Linked DNA regions of Lytechinus pictus. Each later gene encodes a partner of the first gene's protein in a complex. Links are inferred from orthologs where the notes say so. Each region holds a gene or a part of one and is shown on either strand. Other genes may lie near its edges. The genes, in order: N-alpha-acetyltransferase 35, NatC auxiliary subunit-like; N-alpha-acetyltransferase 30-like.

Region 1 (3,928 bases):
AAAAAACAAAAAAACTATGAATTTATGAATGGACATCATATCTAGAAATGTGTTGAACAAACATGCTGGCTTGCGGCATTATAGTTGTGGCCCGGAGTTGTTTGTTTTGTACAATGTTAAAAAAATTATCCTTAAAATAAATTAAAGAAGTCCCTGCAGCAGAGTCCCGAGAACACCTGTAATCTTACCAGATTGCGTAATCTTACATTATATCATATAAAATTACAGGAAATTGGTATTTGGTTATGGAACCTTACAAATTTCCTTAAATAAAACACCATTATCGCCTTTTTAAACAGAGCTGTTCTGTTAAATTGCAGAAAAATTCCTGTTTTATGAATTTACAGAATGATTCTGTTAATGCTTTCTGCAAAATTTTCTTTTTTTCTGTAAAATCAGGTTTTTTCAACAGTGTATAGTAGTCTTTATTATTAATTTGAATAACATTCATACGTACATGATCAAGAAAATATAAACAATTAATGATAATTGCAGCTGTAAAAACACAAATAAAATTACACTGTAATAATATATAGCAGACAATTTAAATTGTTTCGGAACAATGACATAATCCGAAATCATGCAAAAATAACATTTTAACAAGTCATATATGCAGCTAAAGCAATAAAAAACATAAATAACGTAACAGCTATATATACGCAAACTGAAAGAATTAATGTATGATGATTCTCCCGCGCCCCAAAGAGCACCCCCCCCCCCTCATCAGACCCCGAAGCTAAATAAACTAACATAACCAACACCAACAAACAGGAGAAATAGACAGAAAAACACCATACACATAAAGGGGAGTAAGAGAGAGCGAGAGAGAGAAAAAAACAAGCAAACAAAAGACATGTAGGGACAATTAACACAAAGAAAAAACAACAACAAACAAATCGACTCCATGATCGACTCCATGCGGGGCAGACGATCGAGGGGCACCCCTCCCTTCCCCATCCTTTTTATTTTGGTTATTGTTTAAAACCTTTGAATATTCCCATTTTTATAGTGTCGCGTTAACGTATTTCGCTCTAATGCAATTTTTTTTCTTCTTTGCTAATAAATAACTTTTATCTCTTCAGGAGATGGTGATTACCGACCCTTCCCCCTCCCTTGATATATTAAATTTTGATTAGCAAAATGATATGATAAAGTAATTGTAAGTTTTCAGTTGTTTCCTCGAGACCAATATGGATTTCCATCCAGCTAAGTTTTTTGAGAATGGGAAGGCTGAACAATAAAACTGATCCGTTCCCACAAATCTCCTTCTTTTTCACATTAAAAAATAAATGCTTGTATAGGTTTCTTCGTGTTTAATTGCTAAGAACATTTATCACTTGCTATAAAATGAAACCTGTATAAGTGATGATTCAGAAAGATGATATTGTATAACATTTTAAATTGAAATTCTCTCAATTTGTTATCCAACGCACTAACTCTAGGACGATAAAACGTTTTCTCAATTTCTTTATTTTTATAGAACGATGCATGCTAACTTATGAACTAACTGGTTGTTCGATCAGCAATTTGTTTTATACACCCTCTATACAGATTTTCAGAAGTGACCGAGTCGAATTTAATGTTTTTCTCATAAAAGACAAATTCAATATTCAAGCCGTCCACTGATTCACTGAAGTATTCCTTCTCAATTTGTCTTCCCAGTTGGATAGGTCCATAATTGTGAGATCTCAACGGGGCGGCCCTGGCCGGCCGTTAGACCGATACCGGACCGACTGCATATACGTATACCTTGACCGGCGATCGTAATGTAACGAATTGGCCGAATGGAGAGTTTATGTCAAGCCGCTGAAATGGAAGCGAGGTAACTTATTTCTTTTTGTAGTAAAGTTGTAGTTAATTCAATTTCAATTGCAGTTTTACAAGCATCTCTGAAATATCTTGAATTAGATCCAAGTTAAGTTTGGCTAGCATGAAAACTGTACTTAGTGTCACGCCGCTTCAGTTGAAAAATGTTCACAATAGTAGACAATACATTGTCCCACATATTGAGAATTTTGTCATGTGCTGCTGCATAAACCATTGTAAACTGCAGTCTGCAGAATATGCAGATATCAACCAGGCCTAAAATTTCGTAATTTTTAGGGCAGGGCTAGTTTGGCCTTGAAATACTTCATATTTTTTAAGGGCATCATTTGAATGATTTCCTCTCTCATATTTTCATGTAATTTTGTGACCATTCCATGGCACAGAATAAAAAGGAATCACTCTAAATAATTGTAAAAGGAAGGAAGGAAGGAAGAAAGAAAAGAAAGAAAGAAAAATATAAAGAAAGGGAAAAAGGAAAGGAAGGGAGGGTGAACGAATGGGTGAAAGAAAGAATGAAGGAGAGAAAGAAAAGAGATGAATGGAGAAGAAATAAAGAAAAATTAAGGGGGAAAATGAGGGAAAAGGTTAAAATAAAAATAAAAGGAAAGTAATGAAGGAAAGAAAAAAGTTTTCCTTCATTCTTTGAAATAAATGAAAAAAAGGGGGGGGGAAGAAAGGAAGGGAAGATGAATGAATGTTTGAAATAAAAAATAAAGGAGAGAAAGAAAAGAAAGAAAAAGAGTAAGAAAAAAAAAGGAGGATGAAAAAAGGAATGAAGGAAAGAGATATGTTTCCTTCATTCTTTGAAAGAAAGAAAGAAGAAAACAGGAAGGGAGGAAGGAAGGGAATAGCTAAAAAGAAAATAAAGAATGAAAGAAAGGATGAAAGAGAGGGAGAAAAGAATGGAGGAGAGAATGAAAAAAAAAAAATAACAGGAGAGAAAGAACAAAAAGATAGAGGACATGAAGGGAAAAGGAAGCAAACAAAATTTTCTAGCCATTGGCTAGAATCTCCTAAGGCCCTCTACAAAATAAATGCCATATTTCACACAGGTTTAAAAAGGTGGGAAAAAGGGCTTCATATCATTCGATAGGTTTTATAGAATTCTTTAAACCCATTTAACCAGTTGCATACTGGAACCAGATATAGGGACAGTGATTTTCGGTTTCAGCATGTCAGGAAATGGAAATTCCATTTCCCAATAGACTTTATGTACAGTATGGAAAATTGACAATTTAGTTTTACCCATTGAATAGCAATATCACAACACTCGCGCTGGTCAAAATTTGTATCTGCCACTGTACCAACAACCAAGCCTTGAAATAAGCAGCTGCAGACCAGGGGCAATTTTTCAAAAAAAATTGCCCCCGGCTCACGGGCTTTTTACAGGAACCGGGGGCAATTAAAAAAATATATATATAACGGTGAACCACACCGCAAATTTGTTTATAGTAAGCGCAGCTCCTGCAAGTTTTTAATTAGTACATGAATAACATGCTAAGTATTAGGCTTATTCAAACATTTAAGAAATCAGATTTAAATGTTTAAGTGTGTTTTGACCAGTGTTGTAGTCAAGGTTCAAACCTCCAAGGCCAAGGCTTTAATACCCAAGGCCAAGGCTTCAATCTCCAAGGCCAAGGCATGGAAACCCAAGGCCAAGGCATTTCAAACTTTCGATATATGGAACAATGAGCCAACAATGCTTAGGCGGCAGACACAGTGCAAAATGTATAAAAGGTGGGAGCGAGCGAGCGAACTGAGCGACCAAAAATTTTGACCCTTCAAGTAAAACAAAAATAATTTCCTGATAGATTTAGACATAATATCAAAGTAATAATACTTTTTTTTGCTAGGCGATTTACATTGCAATAATTAATATTACCACGGTCATCTGATCCTGATCCTAGCATGCCCATTCTCAACGTATGTCTTTCTCCACTCCCTGGGATAGGGGCGGCAGAACATATTTTTGTTTATTAAAGGGATGGTCCGGGCTGAAAATAAATAGAGTAAAATTCACAAAGCAAAATGCTGAAAATTTCTTCAAAATCGGATAACAAATAACGAAGTTATTGAATTTTAAGCTTTATCAATATTTTGT
Region 2 (3,928 bases), on another chromosome or scaffold:
AGAAATAAATATCTCCAGCCTTGACCATCCCTTTAATTTCTTATCATATTAGCTCTATAATCTTAATCATAACCTCTTTCGAGTTCGAGATAGGCTCCAGAGCCCTTTGAAGATTACAGCAGATGATGAATTCATCATAATTGTTAAATCTGCTCCTAAAATGCTAAATCAACATTTGGTATTCCATAACTTACAGATCAATGTAAAAAACATGAAAAAAAAAAGTTTTTGAGTGTATTCTCATGATTCTTATTTCTTATCATGAATCATGCTTATTTATTAGCTCTAATCTTAATCATAACATTAATAACAACCTCCTCATTAGTGATTTGTGCATTCAATTCATCAATTGTTAAATCTGCTCCTGAATCAATCTTGATTCATGAAGTATGGCAGTGAGTCCAAACTTCGCGCGTGTCCATACTTCGCGGAGGGTCATCTAAAAAACTAGCCAATATCCTTAAAATCTGACATCATCAACGTGAAAAGCGACCTAAAATTACCTTTTGGTGTAAGTTTCTTTAGGATGAGTTCAGTATTCATGAAAATATTAGCAAAAGATCGGCAAATTTGTCACCGTTAGCGCCCGTTTTGAAGAAATCTGATATTCTCAACAAGCATCACGATAGTCGATATCACCATTTTGCAAGCAGAAATCATCAAAAATGTGAGTTAAATGTGGTACTAACCGATTCTAGACTATAGGCTATAGCATTTTGCCATCAATCTGATATAAATATTTCACTTTTTGAGCTTGAGTTTTTGTTTAAATGTCCACAAAAACTTAGGTCCGCGAAGTTAGGTCACACTTTTTCTGAACGCTTTTCCAGCACAGCGCGCATTCGCCGATCAGAATATTATTTTGAGATCTCGATACCGGCGAATCCCCTTGACCTACTTTACATTTTCGTCCATGATATTATAGTTTACGATCTTGCCGTCAATGTGGTAACTATTTCTTGAATTGGTTTTGTATAAACTATAAATTATGAATATTTTGTGAAAAATTTAAGCCTGATGAATATTTTTGAAAAGTGTGCGAAGTTTGGACACCCCATCATATAGGCTACAGTACACACCATCAATTTAACTCACACTTATCGCGATGACAACAGATATACAGTAGCCAGTGATTTGGCTCATGTGCCATTCCCTTACATATATCAAGGAATCGTGATACCCCTATTCAACTTGTATACTTAGGAAGTTGAACGAACTGGCAATAGAAACGGCCTATCGATCTGTTGAGCGAGACCTCTCTGTGCAGCTGTGTGTCGCGACTTCATCAATCTTGATTGGGATTCCTCACACTCATTCTTTACTCACATAGATCCACAATTTACTTTGATTAACACTGACTCAGGTCTCAAACGACAGCAACATCACGTATCAGAAAGAAAAACGCAAAACAAACCTGTAAACTCACCAGAAAACATGAAGAAATCAAACATCAGTTTGCACCTAAAAATTGATCCCCTAGCTCGCGCTGCCGTCATATCATATACATTTTGCAGCTCAAAGAAGCTCAAGCCTGGGATGGAGTACCGTATATACCACGTACATGACATACGGTATACCGTACGTGTTATCATACCGGGTAAATGCTCTGCGCTGATAATGTTGCAAGAAAATTCAAGCATCAGTCGGGGCATCAGTCAAAAATCAAGGCGATGTGGGGGGGGGGGGGGGTGGTAGTGATAATGATTATGATGATGATGAACAGCAGTAGCGTACACAGGGGGGGGGGGGGATACAGGTGTTCAAACCCCCTTTAACTTTTTTGATACTCAAAACCCCTCCCTCATATATATTTTTTTAAACTTTTCATTCAGCTTGAACTATCCCCTTTCAAAAATCCTGGGGGCCGATTGCACGAAAAGGTCTTTGCAAGGACCGTCTTTCGTGTCGCCCATTTTTTATGATGCGCCATGTGAAACGCATTTCAAATAAATTATCTGCAAACATATTTTATTCGTCCGTTAAAATAAACAAAATATTTGTTTATAAAATGATGTGATATCTCACAAAATTGTATAAAATTTGATTTAAAAGCAAGCTTACGAATTGTATTTGTTTATCATAAATTTCAGAAACACCCCGCTAATAGCGCATCATAAAAGATGGGCGACACGAAAGACGGTCCTTGGAAAGACCCTTTCGGGCAATCGGCCCCTGCGTACGCTACTGATGAACATCATTGTATAGCGCCATTTATCTGTAAAAATATTCAAAGGAGGCAGTGGACCGATTACCTCCAAAATGTTCCCAATCAAAGGAGTAGCTATAGGGTGCAAAAGATGGAAAGGGTGATGTGAAGGTCAGGGTTGGGCTAAATTACTTTCTTCAATTACAATTGCAATTGCACTTACGTAATTGAAGAAATGTTCAATTACAATTACCTTTCAATTAAATTACAATTTTTTTCAATTACAATTACTAATTACTTTTGTCAATTACAATTACAATTAATTACTTGAAAGTCATAAATCAGATCAATTAATATTTTGTATGTATAGCGCAAGGTATAGCGCCACCCACTTTGTGCAGTTCTTTAAGCTCTTTTCTCCCTATCATGGAAAATGATACAATTTCATGAAGAGAGCACTAGTAGCTAATTAAGGGAATAAAGCAATCCAGAGTAAATTGAATAATAAATTAAGTAATAAAGTAATGTAATTGAATGTCACCTTACCTGTTACCTATAGTCCAGATGCCTATAGTGGCACATAGGGCCCGGGCCACCGAACGTCTCCACCATTGCCTATCAGAGGCCACAGCTCTGGCTTCTGTCCATGTCCTCCATCCAGCCAGGGTCCTTTTTTCTTTTTTTTTATTGAATGTAATCAAAAGTAATTGAATGTAATATAAGTCAATTACAATTTCTCAAATTCAATTACAATTACTTCCCCTTTTAGCATCCCTAAATTAGACCCCAAAAGAGCCAATCTGGAATAAAATTATTGGAAATGGTTTTTTGACTGATTTGAGTAGGTATGGGTGTCAACATTTACCAAAAAAAAGTTAGGAGGAATACGGGTTGGGGAAAGTGCTTTTTTTCAAGGTCAAAGGTCAATGACCTTTTCGTACATACTGTATAATGGTATCTCTGAGATGGAAAGGCGCAGGTTGGTGATCATGGTGTCAAAATGCACAGATTCTTACCAGAAGATCAAATGGAATAAAATTAAGTACCTAGAATGCACATTCACGCATAAAATTTAAGGCCAAAGGTCAATGACCTTTTATACTACATATACCATATTATATAATTGTATCTCTAAGATAAAACGGTGCAGATTGGTGTTCTTGGTGTCAAAACACGCATATTCTTACAGGAAGATAAAATAAAATTAAGCATCGAGAATGCACATTCACCCATAAAATTCAACGACAAAGGTCAATGTCCTTTTTAGATAATAATAATGGTATCTCTGAGATAAAACACCGCAGGTTGGTGATCTTGGTGCCAAAATCCAAAGACTTGTACAAGAAGATTAAACAACACTAAAATAAGTATAAAGAATAAACTTTCACCCTTTAAATCCTAGATCAGAGGAAATATATAATCTATATGATATAAAAATAACCAAAAACAATATATTTTGTGTTCATATTTTATATCTAAATAATGTAAATAACCATGGCTTATTTGTAATGAAAACATGGAGGTTTCATAATTTCGGTCTGAAATAATGACGGCCATGGAGAATGTATTTAGGGGTCAGAGGTCAATGAGCCCTTTCCAAAATACCAGTGGAAATTAAGTTAAAAAAGTTGATAACCAAATAACACTTTTTCATATACTGCGATGCATTGCCAAAAGCACTGAAAAAATAAATGAAATCAAGTATATAATTTGAAATGATTTTTATCTTAAGTAGCAGCATTTAATGCATCATTATATCTAAATCAAGGTTGTCGTGTCTTT

What was found.
Region 2: the proteins of N-alpha-acetyltransferase 35, NatC auxiliary subunit-like (region 1) and N-alpha-acetyltransferase 30-like are in contact, whole or in part, in a cryo-EM structure (PDB 7MX2), measured with the Homo sapiens proteins. The link is inferred for Lytechinus pictus from reciprocal best matches to the Homo sapiens genes NAA35 and NAA30. Residues at the interface, in NP_001308810.1 of Homo sapiens: Leu45, Gly46, Leu48, Leu56, Ala59, Met60, Ala62, Glu64, Lys69, Glu121, Phe313, Pro314, Arg315, Ala444, Leu510, Glu511, Leu512, Glu517, Pro605, Lys606, Phe607, Glu608, Leu609, Asp610, Val614, Arg615, His618, Arg619; in NP_001011713.2 of Homo sapiens: Glu221, Pro238, Ser240, Tyr242, Thr243, Arg245, Tyr246, His249, Asn250, Lys304, Ile324, Glu334, Asn335, Leu336, Gly337, Val339, Arg340, Asp341, Lys342, Arg343, Phe345, Arg346, Tyr347, Tyr348, Leu349, Leu359, Trp360, Leu361, Arg362.

The regions. Positions count from the first base shown.
Region 1 is NC_087249.1:21,913,008-21,916,935, forward strand, and holds the start of N-alpha-acetyltransferase 35, NatC auxiliary subunit-like, read left to right. Parts: upstream 1-1,408; 5' UTR 1,409-1,784; coding exon 1,785-1,822; intron 1,823-3,928. UniProt on the Homo sapiens protein: Auxillary component of the N-terminal acetyltransferase C (NatC) complex which catalyzes acetylation of N-terminal methionine residues. N-terminal acetylation protects proteins from ubiquitination and degradation by the N-end rule pathway.
Region 2 is NC_087251.1:25,284,973-25,288,900, forward strand, and holds the start of N-alpha-acetyltransferase 30-like, read right to left. Parts: upstream 2,790-3,928; 5' UTR 2,693-2,789; intron 1,671-2,692; exon of another isoform or gene 1,415-1,670; intron 1,322-1,414; exon of another isoform or gene 1,096-1,321; intron 1-1,095. UniProt on the Homo sapiens protein: Catalytic subunit of the N-terminal acetyltransferase C (NatC) complex. Catalyzes acetylation of the N-terminal methionine residues of peptides beginning with Met-Leu-Ala and Met-Leu-Gly.